Linked DNA regions of Schizosaccharomyces pombe. Changing the gene in region 2 together with the main gene of any one other region gives a genetic interaction. Each region holds a gene or a part of one and is shown on either strand. Other genes may lie near its edges.

Evidence for each region.
Region 1: mutations in bzz1 (region 2) and hop1 together harm fitness more than expected from each alone (negative genetic interaction), as found in Schizosaccharomyces pombe (2 studies listed by BioGRID).

The regions. Positions count from the first base shown.
Region 1 is NC_003423.3:3,470,380-3,476,685, reverse strand, and holds hop1 (synaptonemal complex-associated protein hop1), read right to left. Parts: upstream 4,368-6,306; coding exon 4,273-4,367; exon of another isoform or gene 4,225-4,272; coding exon 4,077-4,224; exon of another isoform or gene 4,033-4,076; coding exon 3,864-4,032; exon of another isoform or gene 3,826-3,863; coding exon 3,585-3,825; exon of another isoform or gene 3,545-3,584; coding exon 3,154-3,544; exon of another isoform or gene 3,107-3,153; coding exon 2,881-3,106; exon of another isoform or gene 2,834-2,880; coding exon 2,517-2,833; downstream 1-2,516. Other genes in the region: sct1 (glycerol-3-phosphate O-acyltransferase), read right to left, coding at 1-672, 725-770; DNA-directed RNA polymerase I complex subunit Ker1, read right to left, coding at 1,514-1,957; cullin 1 adaptor protein Pop1, read right to left, coding at 5,016-6,306. UniProt on the Schizosaccharomyces pombe protein: Facilitates initiation of meiotic recombination and DNA double-strand break (DSB) formation at DSB hotspot sites by enhancing the interaction between rec10 and rec15.
Region 2 is NC_003423.3:2,461,931-2,471,161, forward strand, and holds bzz1 (diacylglycerol-binding protein Bzz1), read left to right. Parts: upstream 1-4,097; 5' UTR 4,098-4,242; coding exon 4,243-4,281; exon of another isoform or gene 4,282-4,325; coding exon 4,326-4,352; exon of another isoform or gene 4,353-4,406; coding exon 4,407-4,470; exon of another isoform or gene 4,471-4,521; coding exon 4,522-4,642; exon of another isoform or gene 4,643-4,720; coding exon 4,721-5,757; exon of another isoform or gene 5,758-5,803; coding exon 5,804-6,160; intron 6,161-6,203; coding exon 6,204-6,468; intron 6,469-6,536; coding exon 6,537-6,555; 3' UTR 6,556-6,809; downstream 6,810-9,231. Other genes in the region: srm1 (spermidine synthase), read left to right, coding at 1,270-2,166; ATP-dependent RNA helicase Dbp5, read right to left, coding at 2,417-3,928; SPOM_SPBC12C2.04 (NAD-binding dehydrogenase family protein), read right to left, coding at 7,131-8,285. UniProt on the Schizosaccharomyces pombe protein: Plays a role in endocytosis and trafficking to the vacuole. Functions with type I myosins to restore polarity of the actin cytoskeleton after NaCl stress.

The DNA of each region.
Region 1 (6,306 bases), 1.0 Mb from region 2:
GACCACAATCCGGATGCTGAGAAAGAGTTTCCAACGCCATAATTGCAACGCCAGCTTTAAGCGGTAGCATTTCAGGACGATCGTGAGATCCACCTTCAGGGAATAGAGCAATGCATGCACCCTTCACCAGACGTCTACGGACTTCATTATAAACATATGTTTGATCAATCTCAGGAGCCACCTTGTAAGACGACCCTTCGGGAGAAAGCAAAACTCTCTCAGCATCTTCTCCACGAAACTCACGTTTAACATATAATAAGGTATCACTTTTAATGGATGCTATATGAGAACTTCCATAATTATTAGGAAGAAGGAGAGTATCACCGACTGAATGCTTTGTAAACAGAGTATCTTTTCCGTGAATAGCAGTCTTATCACCTTCAGCTACGACAAATATCTTTCCTTCTCCGCGAATAGCTAAATCTTGCGCCCTTTCGACAGGAATTGCACCAAAAGCTCTCGACATGAGGCCAATAAATCTTTGACGATAACTTTTAGCAGCAACCAAAATGGAAGTCCTCCTACCTACTTCTCTACGAAGTTGTAACATCAAAATCAAAGGATCTACGAATTGGTTCGCATGCGGCGCGGCCACTAAAATTAGAGGTCCCTTGCGAGGAACTCTAAAAGAGCCTCGCGTTTTAACTTCACGGAAAAAGAAATCGATTAAAACTGGGGTTCATTAATTAGCGTTCCGGTTGTAACTAAATGATAAGTAACTTACTTGATAAAATCCATAAGCACGTATCATAAATAAAGGTATGTTGCATTATAATTGAGTGAACGAACCCGTCTTCAGGGTTTCAAGTAAGATTAAACGATACTAGTAAAATAATCGTGAGTGTTTGGGAGGGGCCTCCTGGGTAATTCTAATAAGGTCTACGTAAAAAAGTAGGTCTCACTATATAGTACGCTGAAGTTGTATAAGGCAACGCGTTGTTTCATTAGATAGTTATAAGTCACTAAGATATACATGTTAATATCAATCGACATAAATCAGTATTAGTAGAAACATTAAAGATGTGATGTGAAAGAAATAGTATATTAGGATTCACAGAGTATTGATTTGAAAGATTGAGTTTAGTAATTGATCTCGCCATGATCTTTGTTAAATTGTTATTTAACAATTATTTGTGACAACAATTTCGACAATAAAGCCTATATTAAAAAAAAAATCAATTAAACTATGGGATAAACAAGAATTTAATGATGAATTTAAAATCTTTAAGCATAATCTGATACTTGCAACTGAGAATGAATGGATAAGGACTTACAAAATATGCAAACTCAAGTACTGCGAGTAAAAAAGTTGCATTGTAGTTGTCCTCAAACACATGATCAAAAAAAACCTTAGGATTTTTTCTCTCACGTTTAAAAGATTTAATAAATAATCGCAGCCAAAAAACCCAATTTTTTTAATGAAGCGCAAACTATATTCGAAAGCTCATATGATGTTTTAGAAATCGAACAAAATAACTGAACCACAAATAATCAACACACCTTTAAATTTACTCTAACTCTGTTCTTTTTCCCCTACACCTTGAGTCGTATCCGCTTTGGCCTTACGAGCCTCTTCCTTTTCCCGTCTCGCAGCCTTCTTTTTTTCCTTTTTTAGACGCTTTTTGGTTTCTTTATCCAAATGCAAATCATCGTTCTCTTCCCTTGCATGTTTCAGACTTTCCTCTTCCTTGGTTTCCAACATTTCTTCAGGTGGTATTATTAATTCCTCTGTGGGAGGGCCTTGGACAGGTAAATTTAAAGAAATAAGCGGTATCTCTTCTCCTTTCAGGTACATCAAGACTCTATTTAACTGGGATAGAACACTCTCACTTCCAGATTTTTCATCTTGGAAGCGCTCAATCGTTTGGATGTAGCGATTGAGAAATTTACTAGACGCGTCTTTGTCTAGCTTTTCAGACTTTCGCAAAATCATTTTAGGTGGACATTCTGTCGCCATGTTTAAAACGAAAATTCTCCTGAATAATGCAAAGTTCTCACGAACACAGCAATAATGTAACTTCAGTATCAAATGGAAAAGTTCAAGTCTAATGTGTAACGTTCTATACTTTTTTTTTTTGACATCAAATCACCACACTATTCACACATAATGCAATTCAAGAAGTGCTTAAATTAGCTACGCAATTTCGTATTCGTTTAGCGCTGCGTAGAACTGCGATAAAATTTACTTGTGATCTAGTTTATAGTGGTATGCATGATTCTTGTATGAAGTCTATATTCATATCTCATGTTCGTATAAGCTCATAACTGAACCTCATTCCTCATTTCAATTACCGCCTATTTATAATGTCGTAAGCATAGTTATCTACGACAAGAAAATGAGTTTGTATGAATATTGTCTCATATCTAACGGATGATAACAGAACATGTTATTTATGGTAATAATGTAGTATAGCTAATAATAAATATATTATGTAAGTTTAAATTAATAGTTTGAGCAAATAGATGCAATACTGATCCATCTCAAATTGTTTGAAGATAGGATAAGTCGTATAAGTTTAAATCCTCAGAGGTTTCATGGTGTCTGTCTCTTTAGTGTTTGAAGTCTTAGAAACCTTTTTTGGTCTTTCTATTACTTCCATTCTTTCGGGCCGTAGAAAAGATCGCATATTTACACGTTGATTCTCTTGACGATAATTTTGAAAATTCAGATGAGATATCCATCGCGACGGTGTAAAATACTTCTCACGAAGATATGACACCATTTCAGGGCTTTTATTCGTAAAATATATCCATTTTCGTTTTTTTTCCTTATAGATTATGTTTTCGTTAACTAATCTTTCTTCAATTCTTTTGGCATCAGCATAGCTGCAATCTTAGATAATGTTAGTATATGGTCAATGAGTTGGTAAATTTCCTTACTCAGTCGCGCCGCTAGCTTTTGGAACCCTTGATACTCTGACGCCCAAATACACCGAATTGCTCGTCTGTATGCGACCAACATGGTCATTCGGTCATACAAACTAGATTCAGAATCAACTAACAAACATGTATAACATAACAATTGGTTTGGTTGGCGAGGATCAGAGTCACTCTCAAATCCATAGCAAGCACAGTGAACCCATCCATCACATCTTTCGCATTGAAACTGTGTAAAATATTGTTAGTCTTTAGCAGGTATAAACGATTACACACCATTTCTGAGTCTTCCGTCGAATCACCGCATTCACAATTCAAAAGTGCTTTTTTCTTTTCGGCTTTGTCAACTTTGTCACTCCCTGAAATGTTTTTTTTTAACCAATTGCTTTTCTTTACTTCTTCACAAGGATTGTTATTTTTTATTTCCCTTAATCCACGACTTTCATTCTGCATTTTCTCACATTTTCCTTGACTCAAACTTTTTTCAACTGATTGTTCATCCAATATTTGAGTTGAGCCTATTTCATCGTATTTCAAAGGCTGGAGGAACTTTTCGAGCTGAGAATCAATTTTTTCTTGAGAATCAAATAATGATGATTCTTTATTAATCATGATCTTCTCTGTACTTATCGGTACAAATGCATGAGAACAATGTGAAATCGCAATACTATAGATTAGTAACTTGAAATTTGTTTTAATTTACTTACCCATTGTTTGATTCATAAAAAGATACAATATCTTTGAATTCTCCTCGATTGAGCCAAGACATGCAATCTTTTGTTTCTACGGTATTTAAAAACACGCCAGCTTTAGTTGCTTCTCCTTTTGATAATTGAAAGCGTTCCATTTTTGTAATAATTTGTACGACTTTTTCTTCGTCTTTGCACTCTGTTTTTACGTTACCACTTAAAAATAACTTTATTACAAACCTTTCTGAACGTTGATAAGCTTGATAAAACTCTCATGAAGTCTGTTAAAAAATTTACAAACAAAAGACTCACAACATATTTTCTCTTCACTTCCAGGGTTAATTGTAAATGAAAATATCTCCTTTTCAACCGCGTCATCCTCTAATATTGACTTGCATTGTGACGAAATAATCAGGTAAACAGTAAATGGAACTTTCATTGATACAAGTGAGAAAATATAAGTTTTCTAAAATATTAGTTTATTTCTTTAGATAAGTTTTAAACACTCACCATCATTTCCAAAAAACTGTCTGCTTCTTTGTCCACTCCAGCTTGTAAAGAAACCACAGTAGGTTTCAATTGACAATCAAAGTCAGCTCCTTTAAAATGTTCAATTTCGAAATTGACTTTCTTGTAGCAGTTTTCATTGAAAAGAGCACTTGCCTTCTGTTAGCTATTTTAATTTAAAAATTATATGTCTGCGTACCGCTTATAGCATAATGTTGATATCGCGAAGAAAATTAAATTTTTAAGAGTAAAGTCAGACTTAGTTTGCAGAATTTCCTCTTTGTATGAATTCATTTGTCATTTATACTTAGAAGTAAAGGGTATTTGATAAGTTGATATCTATATATGGTAATTTTGTGAACGCGTCGAACGCGTCTTAAGTGTACGTATATTACAGTCCCACCTGTGGTTTTCCAACACTTTAAACTACACTAAAATGGCTTACATAGATAAATGGAATGCGAAAAGCATGTTTTACGATGAAGACATTTGGTAGCTTATGAAGTAATGTAAAAGCCTTTTGTTAAATTAAATGTCTTTTTACATTTACAAAGCTAAAATGTTTGTTTTTTTATTTACTATAGTTTGCTAATTATAAAAATATAGTACGCTTTTGGGTAGAATGGACGCTATTTGAAGCTAAGGATTCAAGAAATTCGCTTATCCCTTTGGTAAAAAAATTTTGGCCTCAACAAACGAATTTAACACTAAATAATTTATAAATGTAGAATAGATCATTTAAAAAAATATTATTTTGCATTCTTATTAGATATTTAAAAAAGAAAATTATGAGTAAACATTTAAAAGTCAACAAACAATTAGACAAATATTATATGATAGAGGAGTTTCCAGAATAAATAGCATGAATCTATTTCAGTTTGGAAACGTAAAATAAAATTTCGAGATCTTTTATAGATTTCTAGTATCTCAACTTATAAAAGCTCAAGAAGATTTAGTAGATCCAAACTCTAGGACCTCGATCCAAAAACGGTTATTTCTTAAAACAGCAGCCACACATACATTTTCATTATAAGCAACTTGCCAGATTATATCCAAATCAGTCAATAGGTCTCTTACTAACTTTCCGGAACGAATGTCCCATAACTGTAGCGTACTATGGCTTCCACTGACAACTTTGCTCTCGTCGTGTTGAAAAAATATGTGTCCCAAAGGACATTTTAAAATATCTCGACAACTTCCGGTGTTTAGATCCCAAACTCTCAACGATGTATCAGGAGGAGCAGAAGCGGATACCAAGATATTTTGGTTAAATGTAACTTGACTTACCAAATTCGAATGACCATGAAGGGTCTGTAGAAGTTCTCCAGACTCAAGGTTCCAAATACGAATTTTAGCATCCGTACCAGCGCTGATACATTGTTGACGAGAAGGATTAATTGTGACACTGTATACTCTCCCGACGTGTCCCCGAAGAACATGTAAACAAACGCCAGTAGATGCCTTCCATACTCTAAGAGTACCATCATAACTGGCACTGACAATCAAATCTCCAAGACAAGCAACTTCACGTACCGAGTCCGTATGACCACGTAATGTTCGGATGTAAAACGGATTGGTCGTAGCTGAAGTAAAGTCATTATTCTGATCAGGATTTTCATTTACATTAACAAATGGTGGATCGTCAAGGCATGGAAGACTCCATAAACGGATCGTACAATCCCTTGAACTTGAAATTATATACGGAGGCATTGAATTAGCATCATTTGAAGCTGGTCTGTTTTCTTTTTCCACATCATCAGTATCAGTAGTACTTTGATTGCCTTGAACTATTTTGATACAACGGATTGTTGACGTGTGTCCATAAAACACCTGTTTACATTCACCGGTTCTAAGGTCCCAGACTCTTACTGTCCTGTCTGTGGAGCCAGTAACCAAAGTATCCCCAACGTATTCAAAAGTCCAAACATCACCTTCATGCTCTTCTAAACTGCGTATCAGGACACCTGTTTTCGTGTCATATATATTAATTCTAGGACTGCAGGTGCTAACAATTATTTTGTCATCATCAAACTGAAGTTTGGTAATAAGACGAACTCCATGAATTGGGAATGAACATCGCTTAATTTTCTCCGGGGCATGGAGCCATCTTTCACGAAGATTAAAATGTCTAAAATAGACCCGCTTCATTATCGCACAGGCTGACAAAGATTGTTCTAAACACATCGTACGGATTTTACTATCAATTGAATCCCAAAAGAAACCATCTTTTAAA
Region 2 (9,231 bases):
TTTCGATCTTCTTGTCCTTTGATTTATCAATTCTTTTAGCCAGAGAAAGTAGTAGAATTTAGCTTTAAAATAGAAATACCGTAGAGAGAAATCTTGTGTAAATTTTGCGTGCCACGAATATTCTTCTGAGTAAAAAAGAAGTGTTCAAGAAATGAGTAAGTTTGAGATTCAATGCATACTCATCTGCCTCAATAATTGTAAGCTTGGTTTTATGTTTGGTTCCACTCTGGCTTTTTTGTTGAGAATATAACTTTTCAATCACCTGTCTTACATGGTTTATCTAAAGCGATTCATTTACAAATCATCGTAATGAATTTAAGATCTACAATATTGCTAACTTTTGGCATTAAGATTGATCAACAATCTGCTTGTAAATAGGTGAATTGATCATGTAACTTGAAATTAAAATTTTCGATATAGGATAGCAAAACAACAACAGCACTGGTGGGATTGAGAAGTGATTGAAAATTTGACAAAATCCTTCAACGCTTTATGTTTTATTTTTCTTTTGGAAGAAACACTTTCCCATCATTCGTATTGTTATTATACAAACACTTTTTCTCCAGATACATTTGAGATTTAAGTCGAATTTACATCAATTTATACCACACCAGTCTCGTGATTTTAATTTTTAACGAGCCAAACTTATGAAAGTGTACTATATGCGTACTGTGCATAAGCGCTTCAAGTCATTGTTGCGCTTTTTTCTTATACATTATTCATCGATACTATATCACTTTCCTGTATTCTCATATGGTAGTTATAATTTCGTCTCCAAATCTTAACCAAAAGATCTATCATACTATTCTTTTACCCTGCTACTTTTCTCTATACTGATGCACAATGCTGATATAACCTCTACGTTGATCAATTCTTGATTTATTAAACGACATCGTATTAACTAAGGAATATTGTATAAACACATTTGTTTACTAATTCAAATGTTTCCTCGATCAGTTTTAGCTTCGTCAAATATGATTGTTGTTCCAAATCCACTCCCAACAATAGAAGTCTACTTTTCATTGCCAAGCATCGCTGATAATAATGTAAGCAACAACCGAAAGTATATCAATTAAGCTCATTTTTTAAAAAAAGTAACGTATCTTAACATGCTACTTTTAACTCAAGCGCTGCGCTAAAACGGTCACGCTTAAATATGCGACATGACAAAATTTTCCTAAAAGCAAAGTTTGCAACGTTTGTATTTGCTTGGTACTACAACCTTACTTACTTGCTTTTGTGTGTCTTTATTGTTATTTAGAAGTGAAAATGTCTGTTCAAGAACTTTCTCATCCTCTTATTAAAGATGGTTGGTTTCGTGAGATCAACAACATGTGGCCTGGTCAAGCCATGACCTTGAAGGTTAAAAAGGTTTTATATGCAGGAAAATCAAAGTATCAAGATGTTTTGGTCTTTGAGAGTGAAACTTATGGACATGTTTTGGTTTTGGATGGTGCTATTCAAGCCACTGAGCGCGACGAGTTTTCTTACCAAGAAATGATTGCTCATCTTGCTCTAAACAGTCACCCCAACCCAAAGAAAGTTCTCGTTATTGGTGGTGGTGATGGCGGTGTACTTCGTGAGGTGGTCAAACACGAATGTGTCGAAGAGGCTATCTTGTGCGATATTGATGAAGATGTCATTAAAGTCTCCAAGCAATACCTTCCTGAGATGTCCGCAGGTTTCAATCATCCCAAGGTTAAGGTACACATTGGTGACGGTTTTAAATTTTTGCAAGATTATCAAAATACTTTTGATGTGATTATTACAGACTCTTCCGATCCTGACGGTCCTGCCGAAGCCTTGTTCCAAAAACCTTACTTTCAACTTCTTTCCGATGCTCTTCGTGGAGGCGGTGTCATTACTACTCAAGCTGAGTGTATGTGGATTCATTTGGGTGTCATCAGCAATGTCTTGACTGCCGTTAAAACAGTTTTCCCCAATGTTCGTTACGCATACACTACTATCCCCACCTATCCCTCTGGATCTATCGGCTTCGTTGTAGCCTCCAAGGATGCTTCCATCGACCTTAGCAAGCCTCTTCGCAAGTGGTCTCCCGAAGAAGAGAATAAGCTTTGTAAGTACTATAACAGTGAAATTCATGCTGCTTCCTTTGTTCTTCCTACCTTTGCTCGTGATGTCGTTGACAAGGCTACCTCCTCTTAAGCAAACATTTTTATTTTTTTTGGCTAAAGTTTCATACGTCTTAATCAATGCAATCTTAAGTCAAAATGTATACTCTTTTTTCTTTGTTTTCACACTTCTGCTCTCTACTTTTTGTAAGTGAGATTACGTTCTCTTTCGGTAGTTGATATGCAAAAAAACCAGTGAAATACCAGCATAAGTAAATAATATTCCTTTAGTAATTGGTACCAAGAAACCTATGTATTAAATAATCTCTAAAAATCAACATGCTTTACATTTTAAGTGCATTCTTGACAACTTTTTCAAGCTCTTCGTAGTCATCTGTAGGCACTCGCGTGATGGGACGTTGGAAGTATTCTTGAATGGCGTTCATTTCTTCCCAACTCTTTTTATCGTGAACAAAATTGATACTTACTCCAACACGGCCGAACCTACCGGTACGACCTATACGGTGAAGATATGTTTGTGGATCGGGTCTTCCTGCTTGATCTAAAGGCATATCATAGTTTACAACCAAGTTGACTTGCGATACGTCGATACCCCGAGCAATTACATTCGTAGTAACCAAAACCTTTGAAGTACCTACTCGGAATGAATCCATAATAGCGTCACGTTGTGCACCTTCCAGATTACCGGTAAGACAAGCAACAGTGTGTCCATCTGCAGTCATACGCCTAGCAATTTCTTCAGCGGTATCCTTTTTCTTACAAAATATAATTGATTGACCAATAGTCAATAACCCATATAATTCCACTAAAACATTATATTTATGTTCTTCACTTTGGCAATCCATATACAACTGCTTGATTCCCTCAACAGAAAGCTCCTCAGTCTTCAGACGAATTTCATTAGCATTGGGAGCAAAACGTTCAGCGTACTTTTCAACGCGTTCCGAAAAGGTAGCACTGAAAAGAACAATCTGAGTGTTTCTAGGAAGAAGGTGCTTGATACGCATAGATTGATCTCCTAATCCTTGCTGATCTAACATGTTGTCTGCCTCATCTAACACGAATACTTTAATATCGCGAGCGTCAAGCTGTCTTCTCTTCATCAAATCCATCACAGTGCCAGGCGTTCCGATTACAATTTGAGCATCGATTTTTGCACCTTTAGGGACGGAGTCTTTAATACCAAAAGCTGTTTTTACTTCAGTATATTTGCCCATCTCCGTCACGACATCCATAATCTGACGGGCCAATTCACGAGAAGGAGCGAGGCAGATAGCTTGAGGTTTGGGAACAGAAGCATCAACACGAGAAAGCATCGTTAATGCAAATGCAGCGGTTTTACCAGTTCCGGATTGTGATTGTCCGATCATATTGCGAGGAGGATTTGAGAGTAAAAGTGGAAGCGCCTTCTCTTGAATTTTTGAGGGTTTTTGGAATTTCATTGAATAAATTCCCTTTAATAATTCGGGCTTGAGCTCCAACTCTTCAAAACTTTTAACAGAAAAAAGAGGTGAGTTTGGATCAGCCTGTAGATCTGCTAATTTTACACGAACCTCGTTTTTATTTGGTATTAAATTAGATTCATCATTTTCAGATTGCTTCGTATTGGCGTCCTCTGCAATCGTGTTGGTCGCTTTGTCTTGCTCAGATTTTGCATCAACATTCTCAGTGATTTTTGGACCTAATCTGTCACTTAAATTTGTTGCTTTTTGATCTTCATTTTTATTTTCTGAAGTATTTAACTGATTGACTTTATCACTAATTCTTTGAACCTCTTCATCAGAGTCCAAACTAGCCCAGTCAGTTTTGCTTTCCTGTCCCAGTGTAGTTGACATTTTGGATGTTTTTTAGTAAAAAAAATAAAAAAAATCAAATTTATAGTTCAGATATCCAAACTCAGCAAGGATGACTTAGCAAACTGGATGACAATTTCTGGTGGGCAATGTAGTTGGTGATTGCTAAGTTACTCCTTAAGTGAAAGTTGAACAATATAGGTTTCGATTCACCACCGTACTTCCTTTTCATCAACATTCGTAACGTAAAGCCAAAAATTGTCACAATTTCTTCCGTCAAACTTTCTTTTTAATTGTTTTATATCCGGTACAAATTTTTATTGCAGCGATATCAAACGTGTAGATAATACTGGATAATGAGCCTGGAAACATACAAATTTAGTGATGAACTTCACGTAAGGTGTTTTAGTTATTTGGCATATTTACTAATATATAAAAGGACGATTTTAAAGTTGTCGACAGTTGGGTATGCCAAGAATGAAAATGAAGACAGTTCAACAATTAACACATTGTAACAAAGATTAATAATGGCGCGAAATGGCTTGAAGATATTCAATTGTACTACAAAGAAAGAAGTTCTATTGGTAAATAAGAAACGACAATGGTTAAATTTCAATGACTAACTTTGTTGCTAGAAAAAGAATATGCTCAGAAATTAGCCAGTCTTTCGAATAAATATGGGGAGAAGAAATCCAGAAAATCATCAGCCCTTTCAGTCGGAGATACTCCGGCAATGTCTGCTGGCTCTTTAGAATGGTATGTAAAATATTGGAACCTGTCAAGCAATTGAAGTTAGATGGATATTGAATTCCTGTTCACAGGCTAATTTTATAGTGCTTCTTTAACAACATGGTCTAAAATTTTGGATGAGTTAACGCGCTCATCAAAAACTCATCAAAAGCTATCCGATGACTATTCATTGGACATTGCTGAAAAACTGAAGAAACTAGAGTCTCATATAGAGGCTTTAAGAAAAGTTTATGATGATTTATATAAAAAATTCTCATCCGAAAAGGAGACATTGTTAAACAGTGTGAAGAGAGCCAAGGTCAGTTACCATGAGGCCTGCGATGATTTAGAAAGCGCAAGGCAAAAAAACGATAAATATCGAGAGCAAAAAACTCAAAGAAATTTAAAATTATCTGAAAGTGATATGCTCGATAAGAAAAATAAATACCTACTTCGTATGCTTGTATACAACGCCCACAAGCAAAAGTTTTATAATGAAACTCTACCAACGCTCCTTAATCATATGCAAGTATTGAACGAATACAGGGTTTCGAATTTAAATGAAATATGGTGTAACAGCTTTTCAATTGAAAAGTCTCTCCATGATACCTTATCCCAAAGAACCGTTGAAATTCAATCAGAAATTGCAAAAAATGAACCAGTCCTTGATTCTGCCATGTTCGGAAGGCACAATTCAAAGAATTGGGCACTTCCTGCTGACTTGCATTTTGAACCTAGTCCTATCTGGCATGACACGGATGCACTGGTGGTGGATGGTTCATGTAAAAACTACCTCCGAAATTTACTGGTCCACTCCAAAAATGACCTTGGAAAACAGAAAGGCGAGCTTGTATCGTTAGATTCACAATTGGAAGGTTTACGCGTCGATGATCCAAATAGTGCTAACCAGTCATTTGAATCTAAAAAGGCTTCGATAAATCTAGAAGGGAAAGAGCTCATGGTAAAGGCCAGAATAGAAGATTTAGAGGTTCGTATCAACAAGATCACGTCAGTTGCGAATAATTTAGAAGAAGGAGGTCGTTTTCATGATTTCAAACATGTTAGTTTTAAACTTCCGACAAGTTGCAGTTACTGTCGTGAAATTATTTGGGGGTTATCGAAGCGTGGATGTGTTTGCAAAAGTACGAAATATTTGCTTTCTTTCGTTAACTAACAAAACACGTGTAGATTGTGGCTTCAAATGCCATGCAAGGTGTGAACTTCTTGTTCCCGCCAACTGCAAAAATGGTGAGCCCGAAGTGGCCGACGATGATGCTGTAGATACCAGTGTTACTGCCACTGATGATTTTGATGCTTCTGCGTCGTCTTCAAATGCCTATGAATCCTATCGTAACACATACACAGATGATATGGATTCAAGTAGTATTTATCAAACTTCCTTAAGCAACGTGAAAACAGAAGAAACAACGCCTGCTGAACCAGCGTCAAAGGTTGACGGTGTAGTTCTTTACGATTTTACCGGGGAACATGAAGGGGTAATCACAGCTTCTGAAGGACAGGAATTTACGCTACTTGAACCAGATGGTAAGTAAAGCTTGAAAAATCCCATTCTAATAGATCAATATAGATGGCTCTGGTTGGGTTCGAGTAAAAATCGATGGAACTGATGGCTTGATTCCAGCTTCTTATGTTAAATTGAATGATGAATTAAATACGAGTGTGACACTTGATGGAGATTCTTCTTATGTTAAGGCGTTATATGCATACACAGCTCAATCCGATATGGAATTATCAATCCAAGAGGGTGATATAATTCAGGTCACAAATCGAAACGCTGGAAACGGATGGTCTGAAGGGATACTTAATGGAGTGACCGGTCAATTCCCAGCTAAGTAAGTCTTTGTTTTTTTTTTTTATTCATTTCTCCATTTCTTTGCACAAAAACTAACATATGTCTTAGTTATGTTACAGATGTATAAACCATTGAAATATCTATATGAATATTATCTACTTCATTGTTGATAAATTTTACCTTCTTTATGTATTACGAAAAGCAAATTGTCAATAATAACTTACGATTTTTTATCCACTACAATGTAGTTGGTCGATACACCAAAGTATTTTTTTGCTAGATTGATCTTTTTTTTTTTGAATTTTAGATATTTATAATAACTATACTAAATGCTATGCCTAAGGAAAATTTTTTAAATTGAACTATGCTATATTTTTTTCGTTAGTAACCAAAATTTATGTTTACTGAAGAATACAGTTTCGCGTTACGAGAAAATTGATCAACAATTTTTTAACGAATACATACAAACACATTGTCATTACAACAGAGAGGAATCGAAGGATGTGATATGTCATCGTACATTTTCAAAAGTAATCTGCAAATTGAAACAAACATATAAACGACATGTGATATTGGAACTAAGTCTAAAAACATTCCCGATAACGAAGGGAAAACTTTCATGAAAGGTAACGAAAAAGAGAAAAAAGCCAAAATGGTGAAAATATAAGGAAAAAAAAGTTGTGTGTTCAATTCTTCTATACTTTAATTATTCGTAATGATCTTCGTCAACTCGTATGTCTTAGCGCCGTCGTCAAACTTGGACAAAATGCGGCTAGGAGGATATCTGCCCTGGACAACACCCAAGAAAGCATCAAATTCATTATAATAGGGATCATCTTCGGGGAAATTAATAATGCGTTCGCTATCAGCCTCAGGAGAACGAATGTAAAGTCTGGGTTGACCGTAAAAGTCAACCATACGAACATAATGACCATCTGCTTGAAGCTCTAGACAAGTGTCATAATTCGTTCCTTGTAAAATGATACTATGAGCGAGAATACCAACTGCACCCGACTTATATTTCCATGATGCAGCGGTGAAACGGGGGATGCGCTCCTCTTTGGGAATGGACTCCTCGTCAACAGGAACCTTAGCTAATTTTCCACAAGGGTCGTACCAGTTTACACGGTTTACCTTGACGGTAGAAGTATCGACATCACCACCGAAATAGATGGACAAATCACAGAAATGTGTAGCTTGCTCAACGACGGGACCACCAGACTTTGACATGTACCACCAGAAAAGTTTGTTATTATGTTCGTAAGCAGAGTTATATCTTGCAATGGTACAAGCGATGTTCAAGTTATTATCGGCAACGTATTTCTTGGCGGCTTGAACGATCTTTAAATAACGGAACATATAACCAATTGAAATGATAGCATGGTATTTCTCCAATTCATGTACGAGGTTAAAAGCACCTTGGACAGGAGCACTAGTAATAGGCTTCTCGATAAATAGAGCAGCATTGGGGTATTTTCTTAAAATTTCCAACTCCATGTCCATACCCGGAGTTGTGCAGCCATGGAAATCAGGAGGAATGCCAATGAGATAAGCAGAAGGGACATCCTCAGGATGGGAATCCAAGTATTCCAAGTACTCAGTTACAGAGACATACGTCTTGGTGTTTTCATAAGCGAAAGCAACGTCAGATGCACATTTAGACTTCAAAACACGCTCGCTTTCGTTAATTAAGGGGTTGATGAGAGCAGTTACTCGAAGTGATTTTCCTAACACCTTTTCAACTCTCTGGGCATTGTTCCAAGGTCCCTCGGGGGTACCAAAGTTAATGCCACCGGCGCCAACAATAGCGATCTTGAAGATCCCACCAGAAGAAGAGTTGGTTGATAGAGCAGTCATTGAATCAAACAAAGCAATATAAAAACAAGTTCAGAAAATAACAAAGATAAACAACAGGCTCAACCTATGTGAATGGTTGTGCAAAAAGACCGAGTTGATCAACAATGAATACGAGAAAATGAATGAGTAAAAGGAAAAAGGAAAACAGCTATGAGAATTCCAAATTGAGGATTCTTTGTTTTTTTTTTCCTAATTGAACTTATCGTATGGTATGGGTAAAAGACAGGTTTATAAAATATGATATTTCCTACGCTTATATATTTTCTTTTAGCGCTAACGTAAGGAGCTCTTCCAAACCATTACGTATTCGGATTAACTTGCATGTTGTAAATAAACAAATACAACAAACCGAATATTAAGGAACGTTCTCACTTTAGCTATGTACTGTATAAGATGGACGGAGATGAAAGAGTTCAAGGATATAAAAGTAAAACTAGTAGTTCTAGGAGCGACAAAAGAACGAAATTTTGACATCTCGACCGAGCCATTTTTAACATGCCATTTAAGATTTCACTTTACAAAATTTAAGCAACGATCTTTACAGATCCGGCAAAACAAGGAAGTGTATTTTGCAAGGATAAGTTAACCTAGATAATTACAGCGTAGAGAGAGTAAAAACATAAAAAGGAGAAAATTTTTTCAACGTGCTGATTTCGCTAGCAATAGCCATTTGGAAAATTTGGACCCTACTTACGTTCAATTTATGTAATATTGAGGCAATGAATAGAAAGAAGAATCGAAGAGAACGAATAAGGCAAAGTAGCGAAGTTCGGTAATGTCTAAGGATAATACATAAAGTTAAATAAGATATACTACCGTAATGTAACACTAATGCAATGGAATGAAAAATACCGTAAAGATTGTAACGATGTGTAATTTTTAGAATAGTGTATCCGTGCAGTTTTTTAAAATAGTGTGTTTGTTACAAAATATCATGCTAAATTTA